7 linked regions of the Canis lupus familiaris genome follow. The protein of the gene in region 1 interacts with the protein of each later gene in a pairwise test. Links are inferred from orthologs where the notes say so. Each region holds a gene or a part of one and is shown in the gene's direction. Other genes may lie near its edges. The genes, in order: TLE5, LMO4, NEK6, KRT13, BYSL, CRACR2A and ZGPAT.

What was found.
Region 2: the proteins of TLE5 (region 1) and LMO4 interact in binary tests that used the Homo sapiens proteins (3 or more experiments, as listed by UniProt). The two-hybrid records come from large-scale screens. The link is inferred for Canis lupus familiaris from reciprocal best matches to the Homo sapiens genes TLE5 and LMO4.
Region 3: the proteins of TLE5 (region 1) and NEK6 interact in binary tests that used the Homo sapiens proteins (3 or more experiments, as listed by UniProt). The two-hybrid records come from large-scale screens. The link is inferred for Canis lupus familiaris from reciprocal best matches to the Homo sapiens genes TLE5 and NEK6.
Region 4: the proteins of TLE5 (region 1) and KRT13 interact in a two-hybrid assay, tested with the Homo sapiens proteins (2 studies listed by BioGRID and IntAct). The two-hybrid records come from large-scale screens. The link is inferred for Canis lupus familiaris from reciprocal best matches to the Homo sapiens genes TLE5 and KRT13.
Region 5: the proteins of TLE5 (region 1) and BYSL interact in binary tests that used the Homo sapiens proteins (3 or more experiments, as listed by UniProt). The two-hybrid records come from large-scale screens. The link is inferred for Canis lupus familiaris from reciprocal best matches to the Homo sapiens genes TLE5 and BYSL.
Region 6: the proteins of TLE5 (region 1) and CRACR2A interact in binary tests that used the Homo sapiens proteins (3 or more experiments, as listed by UniProt). The two-hybrid records come from large-scale screens. The link is inferred for Canis lupus familiaris from reciprocal best matches to the Homo sapiens genes TLE5 and CRACR2A.
Region 7: the proteins of TLE5 (region 1) and ZGPAT interact in binary tests that used the Homo sapiens proteins (3 or more experiments, as listed by UniProt). The two-hybrid records come from large-scale screens. The link is inferred for Canis lupus familiaris from reciprocal best matches to the Homo sapiens genes TLE5 and ZGPAT.

Annotation. Positions count from the first base shown.
Region 1 is NC_049241.1:56,593,515-56,596,384, forward strand, and holds the end of TLE5 (TLE family member 5), read left to right. Parts: intron 1-1,084; coding exon 1,085-1,159; intron 1,160-1,246; coding exon 1,247-1,468; 3' UTR 1,469-2,370; downstream 2,371-2,870. UniProt on the Homo sapiens protein: Transcriptional corepressor. Acts as a dominant repressor towards other family members. Inhibits NF-kappa-B-regulated gene expression. May be required for the initiation and maintenance of the differentiated state.
Region 2 is NC_049227.1:61,435,912-61,440,184, reverse strand, and holds the start of LMO4 (LIM domain transcription factor LMO4), read left to right. Parts: upstream 1-1,473; 5' UTR 1,474-2,017; intron 2,018-4,093; exon of another isoform or gene 4,094-4,185; intron 4,186-4,273. UniProt on the Homo sapiens protein: Transcription cofactor. Plays a role in establishing motor neuron identity, in concert with MNX1, acting, at least in part, to disrupt LDB1-LHX3 complexes thereby negatively modulating interneuron genes in motor neurons.
Region 3 is NC_049230.1:58,759,089-58,763,362, reverse strand, and holds the start of NEK6 (serine/threonine-protein kinase Nek6), read left to right. Parts: upstream 1-1,474; 5' UTR 1,475-1,585; intron 1,586-4,274. UniProt on the Homo sapiens protein: Protein kinase which plays an important role in mitotic cell cycle progression. Required for chromosome segregation at metaphase-anaphase transition, robust mitotic spindle formation and cytokinesis.
Region 4 is NC_049230.1:21,136,624-21,140,793, forward strand, and holds the start of KRT13 (keratin, type I cytoskeletal 13), read left to right. Parts: upstream 1-1,370; 5' UTR 1,371-1,520; coding exon 1,521-2,039; intron 2,040-3,092; coding exon 3,093-3,175; intron 3,176-3,359; coding exon 3,360-3,516; intron 3,517-3,693; coding exon 3,694-3,855; intron 3,856-3,943; coding exon 3,944-4,069; intron 4,070-4,160; coding exon 4,161-4,170.
Region 5 is NC_049233.1:10,768,326-10,772,308, forward strand, and holds the start of BYSL (bystin), read left to right. Parts: upstream 1-1,183; 5' UTR 1,184-1,340; exon of another isoform or gene 1,341-1,547; 5' UTR 1,548-1,561; coding exon 1,562-1,829; intron 1,830-3,983. Other genes in the region: MED20 (mediator of RNA polymerase II transcription subunit 20), read right to left, coding at 992-1,005. UniProt on the Homo sapiens protein: Required for processing of 20S pre-rRNA precursor and biogenesis of 40S ribosomal subunits. May be required for trophinin-dependent regulation of cell adhesion during implantation of human embryos.
Region 6 is NC_049248.1:4,848,759-4,852,258, reverse strand, and holds part of CRACR2A (EF-hand calcium-binding domain-containing protein 4B), read left to right. Parts: intron 1-745; coding exon 746-852; intron 853-3,500.
Region 7 is NC_049245.1:48,102,663-48,106,681, forward strand, and holds the start of ZGPAT (zinc finger CCCH-type with G patch domain-containing protein), read left to right. Parts: upstream 1-1,219; 5' UTR 1,220-1,277; intron 1,278-1,471; 5' UTR 1,472-1,495; coding exon 1,496-2,088; intron 2,089-4,019. Other genes in the region: ARFRP1 (ADP-ribosylation factor-related protein 1), read right to left, coding at 176-258, 412-499, 628-720. UniProt on the Homo sapiens protein: Transcription repressor that specifically binds the 5'-GGAG[GA]A[GA]A-3' consensus sequence. Represses transcription by recruiting the chromatin multiprotein complex NuRD to target promoters.

The DNA of each region.
Region 1 (2,870 bases):
GGCACTTGCACACACACGTGCACACAGAGGCAGGCGTGCACGGGCTCAACACAGATAGATGAGGCTCGCACGCGCACCTGCAGACACAGGTCTGCACGCACATGAACGCAGGGACGCGTGGACACGCACCCCGGGGAACCACGCACTGAGCTCTTGCTTTGGCTTTTTGTTTTTTGTTTTTTAAGATTTTATTTATTTATTCCTGAGAGACACAGGCAGAGAGAAAAGCAGGCTCCCTGCGGGGAGCCCAATGTGGGACTCGACCCTGGGACCCCAGGGTCACCACCTGAGCCAATGGCAGATGCTCAACCATTGAGCCAACCAGGCATCCCGGCTTTTTGGGGTTTTAAGACCGTTGGTGTGAGGCCCATTCCATCACCGGAGCCATTCCTGCCCTCTGCCAGGCTTCCTGTCCATAATTTATCATTTCCTCTTGGATTCCTGACCATGTCTTGGGGCCCTTTGGGTAACCTGCTTGCCCAGAGACAATTCCAGAAGGATACTATGAAAACCCTAGAGAAGGGGGTTCTTGGGGCTCTGATAGACCTAGACTTGTGCTTTCCTTTCATGACAGGAACTTCTTGGTAGGCAAGGCAAAAAGGGAAACTGGCAGGAGAAACAGACTTTCAGGGAGTGCTCGGGTGTGGGAGGGATTGCCCTGAACCCAGAATCCACTGGGCCTTCCCCAGTTGTGCAAGGAGAGGATCTTGGATTAGCAGATCTCAGAGGCACAGGCTGCAGGCTCTTAGGATCAGGTCTTCTCTGTATGGTTGGCCAGGTTGTGCACTGTTCATTGACTCCTTTGCACATGGCATTGAATAGGTCATGGTCCGGGGTTTCTCTCAGACTCCCCTAATGGCATTTTCTTCAGTATCTGGCACCAATCCCCTTGGGTCTTCTTGAATCTGTCATTTGTCCCCATTTTCCAGAGGAAGAGACTGGGGCTTGGTGAACAGAAGCGGCTGGAGGGAGGGGTTTTTCGGGGGCAGGGAGGGTGGCTCCTCTTGGGCTCTGTGCCCCAAACCTGCACAGAGATCGGGGCACAGCACCTGGCTCCTCTGTCTCTACCCCATCCCCCTTCCAGCACCAGCAGCAGGTCTTGGGAGCCATCGAGAGGGCTAAGCAGGTCACCGCTCCCGAGCTGAACTCCATCATCCGAGTACGTCTGGGCTTTGGGTGGCCTTGGGTGGGCCTTGGGTGGGCAGGGGCCCCAGGCAGCTAATGCTTCCCTCCGTCTGCCCTGCAGCAGCAGCTCCAAGCCCATCAGCTGTCCCAGCTGCAGGCCCTGGCCCTGCCCCTGACCCCACTGCCCGTGGGGCTGCAGCCACCCTCGCTGCCCGCCGTCAGTGCCGGCACCGGCCTCCTCTCGCTGTCTGCGCTGGGCTCCCAGGCCCATCTCTCCAAGGAAGACAAGAACGGGCACGACGGTGACACCCACCAGGAGGATGACGGCGAGAAGTCGGATTAGCGGGTGGCGGGGTGGGGAGGGTGGGGGGGCGAGGGGACACAGACATGGAGAGAGGAACATTTAGCGCAAGACACAGTGTAGCTCGGGATTGGCTGAACTCGGTAGTATTTATGGTAGCCGCCTGCTGGGGTCCTAGCCCTGCCTGTGTGCCACCCCTAGCTTCTCACACCCCCGGCTCCAGCCTCCCTCCTCCTCCTCCCTCTCCCCTCCTCCCCGCCCCCCCTGCAGCCGGAGTGGGCCAATACCTGCCCATTCCACCCGGGAGGTAAGCTGAGGCCTGGAGGCGCACAGGGGAGGCCAGGCCCGAAGACAGCAGAGCCTCCAGAAGCCCAGCACCCCCGCACCTCCCCGCCCGCGCCCGCCGGGCCCCTCAGGGCGCGCCCCCAGCCTCCCACCCTGGCACTGCATGCAAACACCACGCTAGCTGCCCCTTCCCGCCCTGGGCACCCCGCGTCCCTCCCCCCTCACTCCCCTCCTCCTCCGCAAGGCTAGTTCCAGAGCCCACGCCCACCGCTCCTCTCCCCTGCAGGAGAGGGGGCGGAGAGAGGGAGCCTAGCCAGGCGCAGGGGTGGGGGCGGGCGGGCGTCCCAGAATTCCCTTTCTCCCCTTCCCCAATAAAGATGAGGGTACTCAAGTTGTCTTGGTTTTTATTTTATTTTTTTCCTTTTTCCAGTACACTAGCTTGTCTTTTAAGAAAAGGGATATTTAAAAAAAAAAAAGAAAAAAAGGACAGAAAAATGTTTTAAAAAAACAAGCAACACCCACACCTGTGTCTGTATATAGCCTTTTAGACTTGTCAGCTTTTGTTGTGTAGAGTCGTTTGATCGCTGCGGAGAGAAGGGAGACTGCTGTACCGAGGGTGGGCTTAGCTGTGCCTTTCAAATAAAGATGTGAGAAGGTTGGTTGCCTTGTTCCTGCCTCTGTGTTGTGGGCTGCCGCGGTGCCCCCCTTCCCAGGGGAGGAGGGGGCTTCCCTCGTGTCTGAGCTCCCTCCTCCTGACGGGCCGGATCCGGAGAGTCCCCGTGGGGGTGGGGGGTCCGGCCTGTCCCTGTAGTCTGTCTCCCGAACTGATGCCCAGACCGGAGGGGCAGCTGGAGGCTCTGGGTCACACAGCCCGGCCCAGGGGCCTGAAGCGGAGCTGACCCGGCTTCCCATCCCCAGGCCAGAGGGCTCCTCGGTGCCATTCTTTTCCCTTAGACACCAGACTTTGAGCCCGCAGGACCCACGCCCACTGCATCCCCACTCTGCCCATTTGGCCAGATCAGAGAACACACAGCGCCCCCCCCCCAGCTGAACCAGACCCTCCGAGGACCTGTCCAAGGCGTCCCTGCCACGCCCCAGCTGGACCACCCAGGGGAACCCCAAGGAAGGCTATCAAGAGGCCTCCGGCTGCCCCCCCAGG
Region 2 (4,273 bases), on another chromosome or scaffold:
TGTCTAAGCCAGACTCTTCTGCAGGTCCCTTACCTCAATCCAGCAGTACTGTATGTAATACAATATGAAAACTCGTCCCACAAGGCTGGTTTTAACTTAATGATACTTAGCAGAAGGGCTTTGCACTTTCATGATAATTTCCACCAGAAAAATCTCTCTGGAACTTACTAATAATAATCAGACCTAATATTAGCCTCAGATCAGAGATTTATTAAACCTATTTGGCAGAGCAGATAAAGTTGAATGACTAGGTACTCAAGCATCTAGGCTGAGCTCGGGGCCCTGGAAAAAGACTCTCAGGCTAGCAGCACCCTAAAAGCATTCCTCAACAGTTAAATTTATACTAGACGTGACCTTTCTTCCTCCCCAGAGGCTGTGGGATGGTGAATGTTGCCATTCCTTGTTGCTGTCTGGGGGGGGAGGGGGGGGGGGACGGGGGGCTTGAGGAATCGGGCCTCTCCTCCTGCACAGCAGGGGTGGATGGAGGCCGAGCCCTCCTCCCTGAAGTTCCCCTGGACCCCCAAAGTCCGGGCTGTGAGCTCTTCAGCTCCGACTTCGGACGATCCCCTACGAGACGCCCACGGGGCTCTCGGCCGGCGCTCGGGCCCACGCGGGGGACCGGGGCCGGGCGGCCAAGTCCTGCAAGACCTGCGGACTCGGTCCCCACCTCCTCGCTCGCTCAACTTCCCACTAAGGGCTCATCCGTCTCCAACGCCCGCGAATTAAAGGCAGAAAAACAAAACCTCTTCTGCGTGCGAGCGAAGCCCCCCGCCCGGAGGTTTCGGGGAGACTCTTCCTCCCCAACAGGAGGGGACCCATTTTTGAGCAAGACGAGAAGTTTCCTGCGGGGCTCGCGCGGGCGCGCGGGGGGGGGGTCCCCGAGGGGCGCGCGGGTGCGGGTCCCCGCGATCGCCGGCGCGGGCAGGAGCGGCGCCCCCGGCCGCTCCATCCTGCCCCCCGCGGGAGGGGGTTGGGGTCCCGCCGGGGGTCCCGCGAGGGTCCCCGGGGCTCGGCCGCCCACCTGCCCCCGGCCGGGCCGTCTCCGCCCGCCGCCTCCCCCGCTCCCCCGCCCGCGGAGTCTCGTTCCAGTCCTCCCTTTGTCCTGCCCCGGATTGGCAGGTTTTATTATTCCGCCTGAACAACCCGGCCGCCCAGTGGCTGAGGGTCGCTGACGTCGGCGGCAGAGCCGGGGAGTAGTTGGGATTCGGCTCTGTCAGTAACACATGTGTAAGCGCCGCGCAGGGAGCGAGCGAGCCGGCTAGAGGCCAGCGCCGCCGCCGCCGCCGCCTCCTCCGAGCCGGGCGGCCGCCGCAGCAGCAGCAGCCCGGGCAGCGGCGCAGGCTCCAGCGCGCCGGGCCCGGCCGGCCGCAGCTCCCCGGCTCCCGGCCTCCGCGCCGGCCGCCGCCGCTCCGGGGCTCTGGTGCCCGCGGCCGCTCCCCGGCTGGAGGGGCAGGAAGCGCGGCCGAGCGCCCGCCGCCGGCCCCGAGCGAGCGAGCGGGCGAGCGAGCGGGCGGGCGGGCGCGCGGGAGGGAGGAAGGCGGAGGAGGAGGAGGAGGAGGAGGAGCGGGAGGCGCGCGGGCGGGGGCGGGGGCATATACAAAGTGAAGCCACATTGCCAAACTTGCAGCAGCGATTGCAGCAGTTGCTGCCGCTGCGCCGCGCCTGAAGCCGCGCCGCGCGGGCCGCGGGCTCCTGCAGCTGCTCGCGCGGAGCCGGAGCCGGAGGCGGAGGCGGAGGACGACGCGGAGGACTCAGCCTGACACTCCAGCTCCCGGCCGCCTGCCGCTTACGGCGGGGCCCCCCGACCCAGCCTCAGGGCGACGCGTTTAAAAAAAAAAAAAAAAAAAAAAAAAAAAAGCAGCCCTTAGCCCCCTCCTCCCCTTTCCTGCTTCTGCGAGAACATCCCCCCTCCCTCCAGCTCCGCCAGCCAAGGCGCCCCTTCCTTGGAAGCCGAGCGGCTTCGCTCGCTTTTCGCCGCCGCCGCCTCTCGCAGTATTGCAATATAGGGGAAAAGCAGGTAAGGGGACGGCTGGGGAGCCGCGGGCGAGGGGGGGCAGAGGGAGGAGGGGGCCGATGTGGGCCAGGGCTGTTTTCTTTGGCTTCCTTCCCTTGACCGTCCCAAATTGCAAGTAAACAATACGTCGGCTTGGATAATGCGCGAGTCTGAAACTACCGAGGCCGGCCTGCGAGCTAGCACGGAGGGCAGCCGGCCCCGGGCCGCCAGCTTTGTAGCGGTTCCTGCTTACAAAAGGGTTCTTCTTGGAGACGGGGCTGCTGGGGACCTGGGAGGGTGGGGAGGGGTGTGTGTGCGTGTGTGCGTGTGTGTGTGTGTGTGTGTGTGTGTGTGTGTGGTAGTGGGGGGGTATTTTCAGTTCCTAAGGGAAAGGCCGGAGGTGCTTAAATGAGGGTTTAAGTATGAGAAGTAGTGTGGGGGAAATAGTCACGACCCCCCCCCCCAGCCCCCCAGTAAACACTATTTTTGAAACAGTGGCAGAAAGGATCTAAGTGAGCAGGATTCAGTATTGCTGGTTCTTTTCAAAAATTCCTCTTGGCTTATAAGTCTTTTGTTCCAATCCAGGAGAAATCCGGTGAATCACCTAATTAAAATCAAGACATGAATTAAGCATCCATTTTTGTACTACAAATTGCCAGCGCTACGTTTGTCCCTCCCCTGGTCTCCATTAAAAAACACCAGAGACGTTGTTAAAGGGGGGCAGATTTTGCCTCTAGCTGCCAGTTCTGCTTTCTATTTCACTGACTATCCCAGGACCTAAATTGCTTGGCTATGTAATTACTAGAGTATAAGCCTATTTAACTTAAAAGCTTTCTTTTTTTTTTTTTTTTTTTTTTCCAACTCTAAATGAAACTTGATGAGGGCCCGTCCTTAGTTATCAGGGGAGTCAGTTTCTGGTCAGTCCTCTTGATTCATCTCTTTTAGATTTAATCAGCATTAAGGTATTGCTTGTCCTTAAGAGCTTTAGCTAATGGGGTTACTGGATGCTTTTCTCAGTGTAATGTTTCCTTTTCGAAAAAAATATACATATATATTTACCTCTCACCAAAGATGGGGGCGGGGAAGAGCTTGGAATCTCCTCCCTCCCTCTCCCCTTTTAAAAAGGAATTCGGAGCGATTAAAACGTTGGGGGAAACAGTTTAAAGACCTCGGGCAGGAAATGCAGATTCATTTGGGTTAGGGCTGAAATTGTAACAAAAAGCAATTCCTCGAGTAAATGCATCAGATAAATCAATTTACATAAAGGTATGATGCATTCGGATAAATGCAATGCTAATGGGTTTTAGAGTGGTCCTGTTTCCAAAGTCTCAGGGTTTTGTTACAGCTTAATTGGTGCAGTTCTTATTCTGGTTTATTGTGCGGTCACTGGACACACGTTCCGGGACTCTTTCGGAGGAAATGTGTTTAAAATCGGCCTATTTAAGGAACCCGAGTCCTTGTTTCGTTCCCTTCCCCTGGTTGTTTTTTTTTTTTTTTTTTTTTTTTTTTTTTGCAGCAGCCAAGTTGGGCCGGGGACAGGCAAAGTTCGCCCTCTCCCTTCTGAGGTATCAGCTGAATGTCTTGAGCAGATAGCCGGGAGCCTCGGGGGGAGCCTCCACTCTCGGCTTACAGAGGACAAAGACAAAACAGGCTGCTTAATTGGCAGTAAATAACTTGATCTTTTTATAGAATAAGTGACTGGAGGAACACTAGGACTTTATTGGACTCAGGATTGGAGGCAACAAATTAATCGGTTTAGGCTAAGCTTTATAAATTGATTCCTATATTATACCCCAGTTGCTTCTCGTGACATTCATTAGAAAGAGTGGGGAATTTTTTTAAAAGCAGTTTTTGGTGACAGCAGGACTGGCTCGAATATAACTTGTGCATCCCTTAATAGTGCCTTCTCGCATATTATCTGTAACGTCGCCCCCCCCCCCCCCCCACACACACACACTCCCCCCCCTTTGGAGGAACAAAGCTTTAGCATTTAAATTGCTGATCAAGGGCAGATTAGTGAGACCAAAGTGGAGAGTGTTTGTATAGGAAGTTAACAGGCATCCTAAAGTTCAATGATCTATTATTCTTGCCTGTGTCCTGAAAACCCAGAGAAAACACTCATTGATCTTCAAAATGAAATGAGATTTGGAACAATAATGGGAGATGGCGGTCACCACAATGGCATGTGAAAGGTGCTGTTTAAAATACGAAAAACCAGTTTCGCAACTTTACACACCGCACCCCCTCCCTCGCGTCCCCTGCCTCCCCTCCCACCACCTC
Region 3 (4,274 bases), on another chromosome or scaffold:
GAAATTAATGTTTACTGCATTGATACGGTCCCTAATCATTGGCCTGCCAGCAACACTGCAACACACTGTCTCAGAACTTCTATTTATTTCTATCACTTTCTGAAACGCTTATTTCTTGGAGTTACCTCTTCAATCTATCTGATATCTGTTGTGATGCGTATCATGTGAAGTGAGACTGTAAGTAGGTCCCCGACCAAACCGCTAACCAACGTGTAGAATGACCTGTTCTGTCCCTGCTGGTTCACGGCAAGGCTGGGACTGGGCTGGGCCGTCTGTGCCAGCTGTCCCCCGTGCCCTCTTATACCAGCAGTCCAGAGCTATGTTGTTTATGAGGTGGGACTGCCGAGACTGGGCACTGGAGTTAGTCTGTGCTGTGGTCTAGCTCCCTGCTCAACCCTTACCAACTGGGTGACTTTGAGCAAGAGAACTGGGCTCTCTCAGCTTCTGTTCTAAACCTCATTTATCTTATCTGTAAAACGGGCATGAAAGTGGCATAACGCCTCCTTCGCAGAATGGCTGTGCGGTTGTGAGTATGACACCTGGCGGGGGTCCTACGGGTGTCGTTACTGTCACAGGTCGCAGCCAGGTGGAGCGCCGGGGGGTCCTCTGCGGGCTCGGCACGGTGCTGTCACTAAGCTGGACAGCCGGCAGGTGGTCAGTGTCAGTTCCTGGTTCCAGGCGTCCTGGGGGGACACCGCACGGTCCTGCCTGTGGAGGAGCAGCGGCCGATGCAGGAGGCGGGAGCTGAGCGAGCCGGCCCGGAGCCCTTCTTGGGGGAAGGGGGCGCGCAGGTTCCCTTAGGAGGCCAGCTGCAGCCTTCGGGGCCCCATGGAGACTCTGTCTCCTTAGAGAGGGTGTTACCCACTCAGTAGGGCCTTCTCCCGGAAACCTTTGCACCTCGACTCTCCCTATCTCGGGGTTCACAGGCATTGGGGAGCTCCATATAAGGAGACGCTGGCGCTTTGAGGGCAGGGGGCAGCACCTTCAGCAGGCGGAGATGCCCTTGGAGCTTCCTCCTAAACGTGCGCCGCATCCAGTAGGCGCGCAATAAGAGCTGATTGGCTACCCAGGGTGCGCAGGGCCGTGGAGGGGGCCGCGTCGGGGGGTACCCAGGGATGCGGGGGCGGGTCCCCGGTTCGCTGAGTGCGGACCCCAGCCCTGAGCGTCTAGAGCCCGGGGACTAGGGGTGAAGGGGGGTCTGCTGGCGCCGACTCGCCGGCAGGGTCTGGGCCTCAGTCTCCCCATCTTTGGAACGGGGAGGGGGCGCCTGGGCTGCGCGGACGTCTCGCGGCCCCGGGGGCTCCGGGCGCCTTGCGGTCTCCCCGGGGCGCCCACGGGCCAGCGTGGCGGCCGCGCGGGAGCGAGCGCAGGGGGCGGCGCGGGCCCGCGGCGGGGAGGGGCGGGAGCGCGCGGGCCCGCGGCGGGGAGGGGCGGGAGCGCGCGGGCCCGCGCAGGCGGCGGCGGAACCGGGCGGACGGGCGTGCGGCCGCGAGTGTGGGACCCTCCGCTCCGCCCCGCTCCGCCCCGCTCCGCTCCGGCCGCCCGCGCGCCGCTCCTCCGAGGCAGCCGAGCCGCCCGCGCGCCGGTGAGTGGCCTGGGGCCGGGCCGGGCCGGGCGGAACCGGGCCGGGCGGGGGCGGGGGCGCGCGCGTCGCGGGGGCCCGGCCGGTGGCGTGCGGGGCCGCGGGCGGGCTGGGGCGCGGCGGGGCTCCCGCGGGGCCGAGCGCTCGCGGGGCCCGTGCCGTGGGGATGGGGAGCCGTGCTCCAGGCTCCGGGCGTGCGTGTGTGCACGTGCGCGAGTGCTCACGAGTGACTTCTGGGCGCGTTTGGGAGCCTTTGAGGACAAAAGTGTACGTGTCCGTGCACGCGAACATGCACCCTGCGTCCGGGAGGGTGTGAATGCGTTTCTCACGCACGCGGGCGGGCACCTCCTTGCACCCACCAGGCGGCTCCCTCCCGGGTGCCAGGGAGCCCGCGGAGGGAACTAGGCCCGGGGTGGGCTCCCGGCGGGTGCGGGGCCTCGCGCGCCGAAGGGGGGCGGAGGTCAGACCCGCAGAGCCAGGCTGGGCCCCGCAGACGGGGAGGCCTCCTTGCCGGGCCTCGGTGGGGCCCCAGGATGCTCAGGCTGGGCTGCGGCTCTGCTGCGGCGGGCAGGGCTCCTCGGCCTGCTGCTAGAGGACGCGGCCTCAGTTCTTCCTGAACACCCCCCTCTGGGTCCCTTGGCTCCTCTTCTTCCGGTCTCTGGCCCGGGCAGATTTTCATCTTTCCCGCGGGCCTTGGGGGGTGGGGATGGGGGACGGTGACCCTGGGAAGGCCAGGGGTGCCAGGACACTTGTCTGTGTATCTGAGGGTCTCTCGCCCTGTCTCTGCCTGCTCTGTCGACTAGATGCGTATTCATCTGACTTATTTACTTGTTGAGCCTGGGCTCCAAGCATGAGCCCCCAAGACAGTAACAAATTGATCACAGCAGGCTTGGGACACTGATTTCCAAGGTCTGTCTGCGCAGCTTTGACACAGTTTTGGGGGGAGCTTTAGAAATGTTGAAAATCTCTGCAGTCAGAAGGCTTAATTGGGGATCCCTGGGTGGCTCAGCAGTTTGGCGCCTGCCTTTGGCCCAGGGCGCGATCCTGGAGTCCCGGGATCGAGTCCCGCGTCGGGCTCCCGGTGCATGGAGCCTGCTTCTCCCTCTGCCTGTGTCTCTGCCTCTCTCTCTCTGTGTCTCTCATATAAATAAATAAGTAAACAAACAAATAAACAAATCTTAAAAAAAAGTCTCGATTGCTTTAAGGGCAACTTCAGAAACACTGAACTCCCTCGTCCCCCTGAATTTTCAAAACTCAGCTAGACTTTCTGAGGAGAAAATGTCGTGCGCAGGCAGATCTTGGAGGCACATTTAAAAATCGTGGTGTTAATGGAAGAAGAATTTCATTGAAAGGGATGCAGAGCGGCTGGAGGCGCCTGTTCCCAACGCAGCAGCTTACTGAGTGAACTTTGGACGTCTTCTTTTAGCAAACAAAACCTGGAAGGAAACAAAAAAGATCCACATTCTTTTTCTTTTTTGTCCTAAAAAGAAATGAAAAAAACAAAACAAAACAAAACCCAACCCACCTTCTGGGTTTGCTGGAAAGGCTGCCTCTTCTTCTCCCCTCAAGGCCAGGCCCTCCCTCCATCCCCCACTCCCCAAATAAAATATGCCTGTGGGGAGCTGTGGATGAGTCACTCCCTGGCAGAGAGCCCCACGGGCAAACATTTGGGAAGGTTCTTGCCTAACTTCCCAGAAGAAAAGGCCCAGGATTTAAAATGGTCCCTGTGGTTTGTCAGCCTCTGCCGTCCTGTCTGCTTCGGAAATGACTAAAAGTAGTTTCTGTCTTCAGAAAATAAAGTCTCAGACTGAAGCAGTGGCCCAGGTTGGTCTGGGCTCTGAGCCATTTCAGATCATTCGGGTTTCAAGAATCGAAGCTCCTGGCTTTGCCAGGTGACGTTTCCAGTGGCTTTGAGCGAGGAGGGGGCAGGGGAAGGGCAGGGGAAGTCATGCTTACGGAGCACCTACTGTGTGCACTTTTAATCCTCCTAGTAGTTGTGGGCGCAGAGACACAGAGACCTGTGTCTCTGTCAACCCTGTGTCTTGGGACTGCTGAGAGGAGGTAGAGGCAGAATCCTGTCACCTCCCTGACTTCCAGTCTGCCCTCCACACCAGGGGCCTGATAACTTGTCTTCTGAAGGTGCACAGGCTGGGTGCTCGGTGCTTTCACACACATCTACTCATTTCATCTTCCCCATGAGGTTGGGGGTTGTCATCTCCATTTTACAGATGACCTAACTGAGGCTCAGAGAGATGGAATACGAGGCATAATTTTATGAAAGTAGCATCACAACTAATGGCCACCATTTGTTGAGGGCATCCCATATGCCAGGCACGAAAGCTGTAAGTACCTAAATTCACCCAGTCCACCCGGCAGCACAGAGACAGAACTATCATGGTGCCCATTTTACAGATGAGAAAACTGGGGACACAGATGAAATCATGTGCCAAAGATCACAGGATGCTGTGCGGTTGAAGTCAGGCTTGTCTGAGCAGAGCCCTCCATCTTTCCATTGGACGTAGAAAGTAAAGGTCACTGTGTTCCAGGTTCTTGCGGGGCCAGGTTCCTCACCAGGCTCTGGGCTTCTGGGAGACGTCTTCCCAGAAGTGCTGCCCTCCTTCCTTGTCTACTCTTGCCCCTCGGCGGTGGATGACCCATGCCTAGGGCCAGGACTGTCAGATAGAAAGGGCTG
Region 4 (4,170 bases), on another chromosome or scaffold:
CCTGGCCCCCTCGGCGAGTGGGTTGCATCCTCCTATATGGCCTCTTGATCAAATGCTCACAAGCTGAGACAGATGTCCTGTGATCAGGGTTCTAGAAAGAGCCCTGTTAGGCATTATATAAGACTTCCTTTCCAGGGGCACCTGCCTTCAGCTCAGAGTGTGGTCTGGGGTTTTGGGATCGAGTCCAGCATCAGAGTCCCTTTGGAGCGATGCTTCTCCCTCTGCCTGTGTCTCTGCGTCTCTCTGTGTGTCTCTCATGAATAAATAAAAAAAAAAAATCTAAAAAAAAAAAAAAAGACTTTCTTTCTGGATTTGACTCTGCCTCTAAGGCAGCTGGTATGATGGTATGATTGAATACAGAGGTCAGACTGATCCAGGGCTTCTCAACCTCGACACACACTATTGACCTTTTGGGCTAGAGGATTCTTTGTTATGGGGGCTGTCCTCTGCATTGTAGGATATTTAGCAGCATCCCTGGTAATTGTGCTCTAGATACTAGTAGAATCCCCGTGTTTGGACGACTGAAATGTCTGCGGACATTGTCAAATGTTCTCCAGGGAGCAAAAAGAGCCCCTCGCTGAGATCTCTGAATTAACTGATGGGGACAGAAGTGGGATTGTGGTCTCATTAGGTGCATAGGGTGTGGGTAATTGACTGGGAAAAGGTATGGGGAGCTTTATGGAGCGCTGAAAATGGTCCGGGTGAAGGGTACACAGGTGAACACATGCTTGAAGCTTCCTACGTAGGTAAAAATGTGTTAAGCTAGACACTAATGGTTTGTGCAATCTACTGTATGAATTATATACCTAAAAAAGGAGCCTTTGTATCAGATAGAACCAGACTTGGGTTTTTCAGTCCTGACTACCCTTAAAGTCTCGACTTCCCATGTGTAAAATGGGGCGGCTAGTAGGATCTACATTAGTCCTGGAGCTTTTCTTCCCCCCAGCCTAAATACCTTCAAGGTAGTCGATCCTCTAGGACCAAGCGAAGTTCGTCGTCATAGTCGCTGGGAGCACTGGAGTAGGTGAAATGCTAACAAGGATGCAGAACATTCTAGTCCGAAGTTTTAGAAATAGAAAGAAGGGAGCTGAGAGCTGCGGTGACTTTGTAAAGCACAGGGCTACCTTGCAGCTCCGTCCCCATTCTAGTGCAGGGTGGAGCTGAGAGCCTGTGGAGTGAGCTCCCTAAGTGCAGACGTGAAATGGAATTCAGCTGTCAAAAGGGTAGTCTCAGGCAGAGCACTGTTCCCTCTGAATCATCCCTTTTGTTAAGGATTTAAAAAAAAAAAGCCACCCCCAAAGGCACAACCCACCTTGGAGAGCAGAGGTAACTGGGCTTGTGGGAAACAGAAGTGCAGTTGGCACCAGTCAGAGGGTGGGGAAGGGAGGAGAGAAGATGGGGCAATTGTCCAACCTTGTGGAGGGCAGTATAAAAGGCTCCCACTCTGGGGAAGAGCCACAGTCTTCGGCCCAGGCCAAGCCCAGCTCCCGTCCACACCTGCTCCTCATCTTGCTCTCACCATGAGCTGTCGCCTGCAGGGCTCCTCTGCCAGCTATGGAGGTGGTTTCGGGGGTGGCTCTTGTCAGCTGGGAGGAGGCCGCAGTATCTCTACTTGCTCAACCCGCTTTGTCTCTGGGGGATCAGCTGGGGGATACGGGGGTGGCATGAGCTGCGGCTTCGGTGGGGGTGCTGGTAGTGGTTTTGGGGGTGGCTTCGGTGGAGGGGCTGGTAGTGGTTTCGGCGGAGGCTTCGGAGGTGGCTTCGGAGGTGGCTTCGGAGGTGGCTTTGGTGGGGGTTTTGGCGGCGGCTTTGGTGACTACGGTGGTGGCGATGGCGGCCTCCTCTCTGGCAATGAGAAGATCACCATGCAGAACCTCAACGACCGCCTGGCCTCCTACCTGGACAAGGTGCGTGCCCTGGAGGAGGCCAACACCGAGCTGGAGGTGAAGATCCGAGACTGGCACCTGAAGCAGAGCCCCAGCAGCCCGGAGCGGGACTACAGCCCCTACTACAAGACCATCGAGGAGCTCCGGGACAAGGTGAGCCCTTGGATGTTGGCGAGCTTTCTTCCAAGCTGGGCAGAGCTGCAGAGGCCAGGGAACACGGTATCCCACAGGACCAGAGGACATTGTGTGGTGGGATCCTCACCTCGCCTGTGGAGGAAAATTCTAGTCTTTTACTACTGAGAGTCTCTACTCCTGATAAGCTTTCTTATGCCACCGCTCCCCAAATGAGTTCTTTCCCATTGTCCATTTTTACTGCTGTTATTACTCATATCAACATTTTTACTGCTTTCCAAACAGTTATGTTATTAACAACTTGATCCCTATAATTCCAACCCACTGAGCGGTTTGGAAACCATGACTAAAATCGTCAGAGAAAGGGATATGTGTTCACTCATTGGTCTGGGAATATTAGTTGCTTTTGTAGGGGCCCCATTCACACTGTTATTCTCAAGTGGCTGTGAGGTGTGGGAGGTGGAGGCAGAGGCTTAGGCTGGGTTAAGCGGAGCTGAGATTCCTTCATCACGGCTTGTCTGTCACACTGGGGTCCCAGCTTGTTGGAACGGAAATCCACCTGCCTGGGCTGGGTCCCAGCTATGTGTGGTAGATTTTAACCGCTTCAGAATATGAGAGTTTAGACAAGAAATTCAAATGGATGGGAATATGTATTGGCTCTTCCTTCTGCTCAGCCCGGAGGCCAGCTCCAGTGAGCCTCCTATGAGCTGTGTGGACCCAGGCTGACCCCTCACCCCCACCTTAAGGAATAGGCTGTCATGATGATAAACTAGAGAGATGGCTAGTCTGAGGCTTTCAAGACATGACTAACCAAAGATACCCTGGGCAGGGTCATTCCTCTGAAATGTACATTCCCACCTTCCCCATCACGGCCGGACACAGAATGCCCGAGTGACAGAGCCCGAGGAAGGACCTGCCCCGCCCCTCACTTTACCAGGGCCCAGAGAGAAGGGCCTTATCCCAGCTCACAGGGACAGGTGCTGAGGCAGTTTTGGACAACAGTCTTGCCTGTGTTTTCTCTTCCTCCTCCCCAAGCTTGTGGACCCTCCAGTACCCACCTTCTGTATTTTGCAGATCCTGGCGGCCACCATCGACAATAACCGGGTCATTCTGGAGATTGACAACGCCAGGCTGGCGGCAGACGACTTCAGGCTCAAGTGAGTTCATTTTCCTCGCTGGCCTTTTCAAACTCTTTTATTTGAGACAAATGCTCGTCTCAGTGGTGAAATCGGAGCATCCTGGGAGTGAAGGTCTTGGAGAAGTAGTGGAGTCCAGTGCAGAAGTAGGGGAGTGTCTAATATAATTTCTGTGTTGCTTTTCCAATTAAAAAATATTCTTTAGGTATGAGAACGAGCTGACCCTGCGCCAGAGCGTGGAGGCCGACATCAATGGCCTGCGCCGGGTGCTGGACGAGCTGACCCTGTCCAAGACCGATCTGGAGATGCAAATTGAGAGCCTGAATGAGGAGCTAGCCTACCTGAAGAAGAACCATGAGGAGGTGAGGGCTGGCAGGGGCCTTCCATGGCTGAAATGCTTCCAGTGATAAAGGGGAGCAGCCAGATTTAGCTCTCTGCTGTGGGACCTGGAAGCGCTTCTCAGCACATGCTGGTAGCCCTCAGAGCCAAGAAGAGGGGGGATGAGGAGCTTCACACATCTCCTACTTCCATCCCTATAGGAGATGAAGGAGTTCAGCAACCAGATGGTAGGCCAGGTCAACGTGGAGATGGATGCCACCCCGGGCATTGACCTGACCCGTGTGCTGGCAGAGATGAGGGAGCAGTACGAGGCCATGGCGGAGAAGAACCGACGGGACGCCGAGGAATGGTTCCACAGCAAGGTACCCGGCCTTCTTACTTTGTGGAGCTGGGGGATGCTGGGGCGTCCCATTGGGCTCCTCTCTAACCTTCTTCCTGCTCTAATTTCAGAGTGCAGAGCTGAACAAGGAAGTGTCTACTAACACTGCCATGATTCAGACCAGCAAGACAGAGATCACGGAGCTCAGGCGTACGCTCCAGGGCCTGGAGATCGAGCTGCAGTCCCAGCTCAGCATGGTACACCTGCTGCCCCCTGCCCAGTGGCTGCCACCTCTTGCCCTCTCTGCCTGGCCTGGCTCCCCTCATCACTTCTTTGTTGTCCCACCAGAAAGCCGGGC
Region 5 (3,983 bases), on another chromosome or scaffold:
GACTAGCTCCAGGGATCCCTGGGTGGTGCAGCAGTTTAGCGCCTGCCTTTGGCCCAGGGTGCAATCCTGGAGACCCAGGATCGAATCCCACGTCGGGCTCCCCGCATGGAGCCTGCTTCTCCCTCTGCCTATGTCTCTCTGCCTCTCTCTGCCTCTCTCTCTCTCTCTCTCTCTGTGTGTGTGTGTGACTATCATAAATAAATTAAAATTTTTTTTTAAAAAAAGAGTGGTTCCCACAGGCTCCAGCCCTAACTAGAAACGTGCTAATACTTACCGGTACTCAAAACAAAACAATCCCTAAAATCTAGCATTTTCTCCAAGAGCATTAGGCCCATACCTTTCTCTGCCACCCCACTTATATCATGTTGAGAGATTAAAAGTCCATAGTAATTAGTTACACCAACCATACAATTAAACATAGTAGGAAACGAATTCTGAAGAGGTGACGTGCCTAAACCCCAATCTACCTCCCAACAGCTGCTGCTGCTTATTTTTTTTTTTTTTTTCCCTCTAGACCGAAAATCTTAAGACGGCCGCACCAGAACCAGACACGGGCCGGTCTAACTGCATTAAGTGGCTGTAGGGAGGGGCAGGAGAAAATCTTTAAAAAAAGACGGTTTCCTCGTTGCCTATCCTTTACCTCCTCTAGCTACGCCTGTAGATTGGGTCCTAGTTCGGGCATCCTTAATTTCCACCTCGGGCAGCCCTATGGCCTCCTGGGAAGGAGGAACACAACCACTGATGGGCTCCTGGGACAAAACCTTTCACCTGCCGCCTTTCAGGACGAAGGGAAGTGTCTCCGAGCAAACAAGCGCGGAGAATCTGCAGCCCTCGCAGCGTCTCCATCACCCACACGTTCCGAAGATATCTTATCTTCATCAGCTCATGGGGGACCGCGGTCCCTGGTCCCGGCCCTCCTCCCGGTACACTCCGGGCTCCGGGGCCCTTCCCGACCCCGAGCGCCGCCCAAAAAAGTCCCCTGCGGGCCTACCAAGTCACTCCCATGGTATCGGGCCAGGAGGATGGCAGGAACAAACAATCGGATCACAGTAGTCTCTGGCCGCCCACACTAAGTGAAGACCCCTAACGAAAGCTTCGGCCGAGGGAGGTGCTCCGGAAATGACGCAAAAGGAGAGCGTCCAGTCGACGCGCCCACGAGGAACAGGGGCAGGTCTAGGCATCTCCTCGGTGACGCCTCCAGTGACGTCACTACCCAACTCTGGCCCCGGCTTTGCAGCTAGGCAAGTCCACGTTTGGCTGGGAACAGAGGTCCTCGATCTATGAAAGTAGAAAACCACCGCTCGGACTGCCACCACTTGCAGAAGCCAGCGTTAGAAGCAGTGAGTTCATTCGGGGACCGGCTGGCTCCAGGCCCCGCTCTTACGGGGTGTGGCGGCGCTGATGGCCTTCCCGGCCTCCGGACGCCGGGAGGCGCTGTGAGCTCCGCGGGGGCCTCTTGGGAGCTGGGACTTCACGGCGCAAGTGCGCTCAAGGCTTTTTTTTTTTTTTTTCCTCGTCTGTACCCCACGTGTAAACCTTTCTGGCAGAGTTCTGGAAAAAAATGCCCAAATTCAAGCCGGCTCGCGGAGCTGCAGGCCAGGAAAAACATGCGCCGCTGGCTGAGCAAATCCTGGCTGGGGACGCGGCGCGGGCAGGGCCCCGGGAGAAGCGGCGGGGTCGTGGGACCAGAGAGGAGGACGAAGAGTATGTGGGGCCCCGGCTGACCCGACGGATTTTGCAGCAAGCGCGGCAGCAACAGGAGGAACTCGAGACCGAGCATGGGACTGGGAACAAGGCCGCAGCCCCGCGCGAGCGCACCACGCGTCTGGGTAAGTGGGGGAGGGGGGTGCCAGGAAGAGGGTGGTTAGTTTTGGAGGGAGGGGGAAGTAGATAGACGGCCAAAAGGTTCTGCCAGGGGAATCCTTTGGAATAAAAAAAGTGAAATTGAATAAGGAGTCCGCATCACACCCTTGCAAAGGTGATGAAATGGGAGACCCAGCCCTGGAATAGATTCAGGGTGGTCAGAGCTCTCTATGCCCACTTGTTGCTTTAGATGCTTGCGTCTAGGCAGTCTCTAAGTTAGACCAACAAGAAGTTAATTGGTCACACTATTGAGCACTCCTAACGTTTATCCATCTGTTCTGTACATTCTTGTAGGTTGTCTAGTCCGTACTTTGCACTGTGCTAGGTAGGAGTTTAGATGGTTTTGAGTAAAAAAGGAAGCAAGATAGCCATGACCCTGACTTCAAGATCTTACAGTCTAACCTGAGAGACAATTAAATTGACGATTCGAATAATACATTTCATGATGAAAGTATAGTTTTGGGACACCTGGGTGTCTCAGTGGTTGAGCATCTGCCTTGGGCTCTGGGCAGGATCGCGGGGTCCTGGGATGGAGTCCCGCGTCGGGATCCCAGCGGGGAGCCTGCTTCTCCCTCTGCCTATGCCTCTGCCTCTCTCTGTGTGTTTCTTGTAAATAAATAAATGAAAATCTTTTTTTTTTTTTTTAAGTATAGTTTCATCTTAAAACAAGAGCATTAGTTTTGGGGGTCAGGGTTCCTAGGTTACATGACTTTGGTGCTGAAAACTAGTGGAGAGAGAGCTCTAAGCAGAATGAACGATATTGTTTAGGTGCTATAAAGAGGGAGAGAGACTAATAAAAAGATGGTCTTTTTTTTTTTTAATTTTTTAGGGTGTAAGTGTTGACCTCCGGGTCACTTAATACATTTCTCAGGTCACATCTTTCATTTGTCCTGAGAGCAGTGTTTGACACAATTAAACACTGGCCTCCTGGGTTCGGTATCTTTACTTGGCTTCTGAGCCATCCCATTCCTGTTTTAGTACTTCTTCACCTCTCAGCATCTTTTGCTGGCTCTTTTGTCCCCAGCCTTTTATCATTGATATGCCACAAGTTTGGTTCTTGGACCTCTTCTTTTCATATCTCTTCTCTGGTGCTGTCATCCATTTCACGGTTTAAGTACCATCTATTTGGTAACTGTTCCCACCCTTGTATTCTTGCCCTGATCTCTTCCATGAAAATCAGATTCTTCTATTTTAGCTGCCTTTTTGACATCCCCAATTTGAAATCTAATAGACGTCTTAAATTTATTTTTTTTAAGATTTTATTTATTTTTTCATAAAAGACACAGAGAGAAGGCAGAGACATAGGCAGAGGGAGAAGCCGGCTCCTCACAGGGAGCCCGATGCCGGACTTGATCCCAGAACTCTGGGATCCCTCCCTGAGCTGAAGGCAAACGCTCAACCGCTGAGCCACCCAGGCGTCCCAAGAGATCTCAAATTTAATGTGTCCAAAACAGAAATCCTGATCTTCTCGCCAAACCTGCTCCTCCCACTATCAGCTCAGTTAATAGGATGCTATCCTTCCATTTGATCAAGGCAAGCCTTGGATTTCTTTCTTATTCCACATTTGATATGTTAGGAAATCTTGTTGACTCGTATCTTCAAAATAGATCAGAGTCGGGCAGCCCGGGTGGCTCAGTGATTTAGCACCGCTTTCAGCCCAGGGCCTGATCCTGGAGACCCGGGATCGAGTCCCACGTCAGGCTCCCTGCATGGAGCCTGCTTCTCTCTCTGCCTGTGTCTCTCTCTCTCTCTCTCTCTCTCTCTCTCTCTCTCATGAATGAATGAATGAATGAATGAATGAATAAATAAATAAATAAATAAATAAATAAATAAATAAATAAATAAATAAATCAGAGTCAGACCACATCTCATCACCTTGGAACACAGTCCTATTTGAACCACCATAATCTCTCACCTGGATTATTTTTAGTAGCTTCCTAATTAGCATACAGTCACCCTTACAGTCCACTCACAATAATTGGATGACTTAAAAGACCTCCATGATCTGCCCCTGTTGCCAATCTGACCTCCTCTACTACTTTCCCCTTACTCTCTTCATCCATACAGGCTTTATTTTTCCTTAAACATACTAACTTAGGGCTTTTGTCCTGGTTATTCCT
Region 6 (3,500 bases), on another chromosome or scaffold:
TAGTATTTTATACTCTCATGCACTGATTATCATAGCTGTCTATGTCTATTTTTTTTTTTAAATTATGTAACCCCAAGTACAGTTGAGGGAGGGCTACTAATTTCCAGAACTCTCCCTGCAGAGGAGACCCTGCAAACCAAACAGGCAAATGATTCAAGCCAATAGGGGGCCTCGCGGGAGGAGCTAGCTTTCAGATGTGCCAGGGAAGGACCAGGGGGTCAATGCTGGGGCCTTTCTACTGATTGTACGGCCCAGTGTGAGCTGTAAGTTCTATTTTTTTTCTTTATGCCAGATATGGTTATATGAACAGCTTTCAAAATGAGAAAGAAAGCCTTCGCTTTTGCTGTACTTTGCTTTTGTGGGATCCTCAAGGCCTTTCAGAGAGCTGTTTCCCACAGCAAGAGAACAACAGAGAAATCAGTTGTACTTTAGAGCGTGGTGTGTGGGTCTCTAACTTGTTCAGGTGGAAGAGCTCCCTTACAACTTGGCAAGATCCTGGCGATAAAAGGCAGTGTTGGAGGATGGCAGTGGTTGCAGGTTTTTTTTTTTTTTTTTTTTGTTTTTTTTTAGATCCCAACCAAACTAAGTGAAAGTCGTCTTGTACTGAGAAGCCAAAACCAAAACTTCTAATTTTGGAATTTTGTTTAGAACCTGACCTGTGAAGGGGGGAAGTGGAGCCCTTTTGGGGCTCCACAGTAGGGCAAATCAGCAGGTGTGGATCTGAGGGCACTTTGTGTTTCTACAGAAAGATAAGGCGGCCAAGGCAAACACAGCTGCTTCCAAAGCAAACTGGAAACAGAGATCTGGCTCTGTGATAGGCAAATATGTGGATGGCAGAGGGATCCTTAGGAGGTAAGTCATCCTGGATTTCTTCATTCATTATGTGTTCCTTTGTCTTGCACCTCCTGGGAGATGGCTCTGAGCGCATAGGTTGGCTCTCAAGAAGTGGCCCCAGTGGGGAAGCCCAGAGCCAGTTGCACTCACTCCCCTTGAATCTCAGAGGACATGTTCCTTCCTGTTCTGACATCCAGGTGTCAGGAGGACTGCGCAGAGCAGATCTCTAGGACAGGACATTGTCTTCTAGTATGTGCCTGCAGATAGGAACCAAAGAGGTGCCGGAAATTAGAAGAGTAGAGAAAGAAGGGAGATGAAAGGTGTCAAGGGAGAGAGGTGGAACGTGGCTGGAAGATAGTCTGCTCTCTGTCAAGCAGAATGGATGCACTTGGTTTTTTGGGGACATGACATTTTGGCTCTGAAGGGTAATTAAAGTGTGGCATGGTGTCTCCAACAGTTGAGCTCCTTTGCACACAGGAATGGGGCCCGTGCTTGACACATTCCTCTCAATGCTTCATATTTAATGTTACCTCACAGATAACATTTTTGGTTGCGATTAGACAGCACAATAATCGAGTTTGAGTCCCGAGAGGAGTGGCTCGTTGCACATTGAGAGAGACAAGCCAGTCCTCTGCCCTCTCTTCTTTTTTGGCATGTGTTCCATCCACATAGACAGCCACAAAAAGGCAAAGGCAACCAGACCCCTAAATATCAAAGGTAGGGAGAAAGTTCACGAATTTGCTCATCCAGGAGACCCTGAGGACAGCAGCATGAAATACACAATACAAAAAAGGGAAGTGACTTTGGAGACCCTGACAAGCACCTTGGTCAAATCTTTGGACCCAATTATCCTCAATTCCTTTTCTAAATAGCTCAGCAAAGGGATACAACTTGGGATCCAAGTTTTTGCAATAATAGTTGGCCTGTTGGTTGCTCAGCGCTGAATATATTCATTCAATAGACATTCACTGCTTGCTTGCTGTGTAACCGACATTCTTTTCAGTTCTGTGAAGACTCCAAAACTAAACACGAATCCTGCCATATCCATATTGAGTGCCTACTATGGGCAAGATATTATGCTCTGTGCTAGAGTGGTGAGCTAAACCCTAGCTTTCCTGGAGCTTAGGGTTGAGTAAAAGAAAAAGAAACAGTAATCATATAAGTAACAAATCATGCACCCCAAATTCCAATACAGACTTTGGCAGAGACCACCACTGTCTGCTGCTCATACGTAGCCGTTGGTGGCAAAACCAAAAATGAATTTAGTCATGCTAAGCTGAGAGTATTACAGGATGTCAGTAGTGTTTGAGAATTTCCCAAATCAAAAGCATTTTCTAAGAAATGCTTCATTTTAGGGCTGTTTCCCTAGTCATTTTTTTTTTCTGGTTGCAAGGCCTTCCAAACAACATGCTGTGTGTGTATGGGCACACTGGATTGCATGTGCACACATGCGTGTACTTGTGTGTGTCAGCAGAGTGAAAATGGATTGGAATACTAATTGTGTTCTAAAGCGGATAAGCCATCAGTAGGCTTGTTAGACTATAGAAGAAATTTGTTGGAAAGAGGACAGTCAGCTTCTATTAAAAACTATGATTTTATAAATAAAGGAGAAGGTCCCTGAATTGCTACAAAATTCTTTATTTTGTATCAAGGGACCCAAATTAAGTCACCGTTTTTGTGAGCAAGCACTCTCTTATCTTTCAGAGTTGCACTTGACTTCAGAACAATGATACATGCAGTTTTTTCTTTTCCCTTCCTATTATTGGTTCTTAGGAATAATAACTTTTATAAGCCAGGGGGCAAAATGAAAGGAGCTTCACTGTTTTTCATATCATGTGACCCTCATCTATCTTCTTTCTCCTTTGGCCCTGTCACCTGCTCACCTAATTTGCATTCCGTTTTTTTTTTTTTTTCTAATCCTTGCATGCGTGTGTGTGCATGTGTGTTTCACTTTTGGACTTAAGGTTCTCCCTGCCAGATTTCCATTTAAAACCCTTCTCAGCTTTAACTGTTTATTCACAGAGACTTGACTTCCTGTGCCAGGAAGTGAGGCCTTTGCTCTCAAAACCTGAAAATACAGCCTGTGCATTGGCTCATATCTGGTTGCCCAATTTCCTCTACCTCCTACTGCTTTCCCTTGTTCTTGATGCTTCTGGAAGCAAATATGCATGTAGGCCTCTGAGGCCACTTATTCCGGACACTGACTAGCAGGGTCATTGAAAGAGAAAGGTAGGAAAGGCAGGTAGAGGGGCCCTGCCTGACTTCCTTGCTACCCAAAGCCCATCCACAAATGGGCAGTTGCTTCTGAGCCAGTGGTGGGGGCTCCTCACAGAGCAGCAACACCTCCTCACTCATTTTGCTGAGGACTATTTTGTGAAGACATCTGTTTTTATGCATTGTCTTATTACTGAGATAGGCAAGGCAGATGAGCCACATTCCATGGTGAGGAAACTGAGGCTGGAAGAGTTGAAGTGTTTTCTTTAGTGTCGCAGTCAGTAAGGGCTGGTGTCAGGACTACAGCCAAGGTCACCTGATTATTAACTAAAGATGCTTTATTTCCAGATCTTTTATGCTCCTTTCTTTATATCCTTTACTACCCCTTTTTGGCACTTCTCACAGCTTGTTGAAGTGTATATAGTTGTGCCATTACTGCTTCAGCCCCCCAC
Region 7 (4,019 bases), on another chromosome or scaffold:
GAGTTAAAAGGGAACTGGCAGGTCCTCGCTCTCGAGGGTGGGGGCAACGGGGGAGCTGGGACAGGGCTGGGGGGAGCCTCAGGGACACAGTGGGGGACGGAGCTGAGGGGAGGCTGGGCCGGGGGTGTCCCTGGAGGAAGCGGTGCGAGGGGCGGCCTGGGCACGGCCGGCTTACCTTGTCCCACAGCGACTGCAGCTCTTCCTGGCCCCCCAGGTCCCAAAACATGAGGCGAGCCTTTCCCACGTCCACAGTGCCGACTGCGGGGAGAGGACAGAGGACAGCACAGGCTGGGGACCCGCTGCCACGCGCCGCCTCCCGGCCAGGCCAGGGACGGGCGGCTCTGGGCTCCCCGAGGCGGCCCGGGCGGCCCCCCAAGCCCTCCGCCCCGGGGGGGGGGGGGGGGGCCTTACTGTTGAGACCCACGGTGGTCGTGATCTTGGAGAGACTCATTCCCTTGTAGTTCTTGTTAAAGCGGGTTTTCGACTGTTCCAGGAACGTCTGCGAAGAGACGCGCGCGGGAGGTGAGGGCGGCTTCCCCGGTGTCCGGTGTCCGTCCCGGGCGGGCGGGGGGCGCGTGGGGGCGGGCGGGGCCGCCCGGAGGGGGAGGGCCGGGGGCGGGCACCCACCGTCTTGCCCGCATTGTCCAGCCCCAGGATCAGGACGCAGTACTCGTCCTTCTGGAACATGTACTTGTAGAGGCCGGACAGCAGCGTGTACATCCTGCCTGCGCAGCGGAGGCGGCGGTCGCGGCGGGCTGGGAGCCGGGGCGCTCCCCTCCCCCCCCTCCCCTCCCCCTCCCCCCGCGCCCCCGCCCCCGAAGGCCCGCCGTGACGTCAGGCTCCCCGGGCTGACGACGCCCCCGCCCCAGCAGGTGCCCGGCGGCCGCGCAGCGGGAGCCCCTGGCGGCGTCCGAACCCCCCCCCCCGAAGCCGGGCTGCGAGGCGGCGGCCGGCGGGCGTCGCGGCCCGACGGCGGGTGCGGCCCCCGAGGCCCCGCCCCGCCCCCCCCGCCCCGGGGCGACCGGCCCGCGCTACCTGGCGCCCGTCGGGGCCGCGGAGCCGCCCGCGCCTGACCTCGCCGACCCGCGCCGACCCCGCGCTGACCTCGCGCGGCGCCCGACGGGACGCAGGCCGCGGGGGGGAGGGGCCGTCCCGACGCTCCCCGCGCGCCGCGTCCCGGCGTCCCCCGCGCGAGGCACTTCCGGCGGCGGCGGCGCCCGGGAGGAAGTGCCGGTGGGCTGCGAGGGCGGAGGCGGGGGCGCCGGCCGCTCTAGCCGGTGAGGCCGGCGGGGCTCTATGGCGGCGGCCCGGAGCCCGCGCGGAGGCGGGGCCCGGCCCGGGCGAGGGGGCGCGGTCTGGGGCGACGGGGCCGGGGCCCGAGGCGACGGGGCGGGCGGAGCGGGCCGGGCCGCGGCGGGGGCGGGGCGGGGCGGGGGGCGGCGCGGCGCTCAGCGGCTCCCCGTCGTTGCAGCCGCGCCGCCCGCCGGGCCGCAGGATGGACGAGGAGAGCCTGCAGGCCGCGCTGCACACCTATGACGCGCAGCTGCAGCAGGTGGAGCTGGCGCTGGGCGCCGGCCTGGAGCCCTCGGAGCTGGCCGACCTGCGGCAGCTGCGCGGCGACCTCCAGGAGCTCATCGAGCTCACCGAGGCCAGCCTGGTGTCCGTCCGGAAGAGCAAGCTGCTGGCCGCGCTGGACGGGGAGCGCGCGGCCCCGGGCGACGCCGACAGCCGGGGCTCCCAGCAGGCGGGGCCCGCAGCGCCCGCAGCCCCCGGGGCCGCGCCGGACACGGCTCCCGAGCGCGAGCGCCAGCCCGAGCCGGCACCCAGCGGGCCCGGGCAGGGGGAGGAGGAGCGGGCCGGCGACGAGGACGGCGACGAGGAGGAGGCGCTGAGCGGCCGCAAGGTGAACGCGCCGTACTACAGCTCCTGGGGCACGCTGGAGTACCACAACGCCATGATCGTGGGCACCGAGGCGGCGCGCGACGGCTCTGCGGGCGTGCGGGTGCTCTACCTCTACCCCACGCACAAGTCCCTGAAGCCCTGCCCCTTCTTCCTGGAGGGCAAGTGCCGCTTCCAGGACAGCTGCAGGTGAGTCCGGGGCAGGGGCGCAGGTAGGCCGCGCCGTCCTGGGAGGCACGGTGCCCCACCCTTCGCTGCTCTGGTTCTTTCGGGGGAAGCTTGCAAAATGCAGTGTCGCAGCCCCGCAGGGCCCGGCGTGGGGCCGCCCGCTGCCCCCTTCGCCGCTGATCAGCCCTTCCTTGCCAGGCTCGTGTTTGCTCTCTCCTTTGTCTTCCTCTTGTTTGCCTGCACCGTGTAAAGGAAACCGTAGAAGTCACTGGTTTCTTTTTTTTTTTTTTCTTTCATCAATCGATGCTCAAGGGTCGCATCCCTGACAAATCCGTAAGTTGGATCTTGTTCATGATGAGATTCACACGACTGTGGCAACGGTGTCACTCTTTCCTTAAAATGCCCGACTCGGCTTTTGCTCCTTATCGCTTCCATCTGTGGAAGGAATGTTTACCAAGTCTTGCAGATGATTTTCTTTTTGAGTCAATAACCCAGGGAAACTCTCTCTAGTCCTTTGGTCTTTGTCTTTGCTTACGGACCGTTGCTGGGTCCAGAGCGTCCTTTAACACGATTTTCCACAATCCTTTCTTTCCTTGTAAGTCTGATTACAGTGTGGCACCCGTACGGGAAGGTGCGTAAATCATGAAACGTACTGGAGTTTTCACAAAGCAGACCCATCCATGTGCTGCTGAACAAACAGGTCAGAGAACAGACCAGCAAGCCCTCTCGTCCTCTCTGCCGTTACCCTCTGGGTGCCTCCACGGGCCCGGGTGATGCCCCTTGTGACGATGAGAGCTGACGTGTCCGTGTGCTGTTCCTCTAGGCCAGGCTCCGGGCCAGGAGTTTCACGTGTGTTGACCCCTCCGTGCAGCAAGCCCCAGGGGTGGGCCCCACCACGGCTAAGGTTGCCTGGCACAGACGGCGGCACGAGCGAGCCTGCAGCGGGCACAGGCTAGCTTTGCCTCGGCCCCCAACTGCTGTGCCTTGCTCTGTTGTGTTAGCTATAGGCCCGACTGGCACAGCCTACGACAGCCACTTGCCACTGCCAGACAGATCAACGCTTTTCTTGCATTGCTTTGCATTTTTATTTTATTTATTTTTTAAAGATTTATTTGTGAGAGAGAGAGGGAGGGAGTATGCACCCTCCGTGTAGGGAGAGCCAGAAGGAGAGAGGGAGAGAATGTCAAGCAAACTCCCTGCTCAGCTCGGAGCCGACCCTGAGATCAGGACCTGAGCAGGACCTGAGCAGACGCTCTTAGCTCAGTAACCCACTGAGCTACCCAGGCGCCCCTGCTTTGTATTTTTAAAAATAGCTGTGTCACAGCCCCTTCTCCTCCCAGGCTGTGATCACAACTCCCTTGTGTTTACCTCTAGCAGATGTTAGCTCTCCGCAGACAGGAGCCTATATGAGAAGAGTAACTTTTTGTGCTACTTTTGAAACAAATGGTGTCACACAGGATGGTTTATTTTGCAACTTGCTTTTTTCACTAAGCAGGGATGTGAGAGGGCATCTGTGCTGGTATCTCCAGAGCTGTTTAATTGGTTTTAACTGCTATGTTCTTTTCTCTCACAAATGTGCCACATTTTATTATGTTCCTTTCTGATGTTTTCCAGTTTTTGTCTGTTACAAACAGCTTGCTGTGAACATCTTAGTAGCGTCTTCTTCTGTACCTGCCTGAGAATTTCCCTAGTATGGGACCGGTGTGTCGAGAGTGTGCAGAGTTCCCGCTTCCGTATGAAGGCCGGTGCCTCGTCCCTCATCCTCTCTATCACTGCCGATTCCTGCCTGCTGAGCGCTGGGAAAATGGGATCATGGTTGAATTTGTGTTTCCTTGGTTCCTAGTGAGATACAGTATTTTTTCGTTCATTTTTTATAGCTTAAGGTCTGTATTTCAATTTCTTTATCTGTAAAACAAACGAGAGTTGTCTTTCATAGTTGTTGGGACAATGGA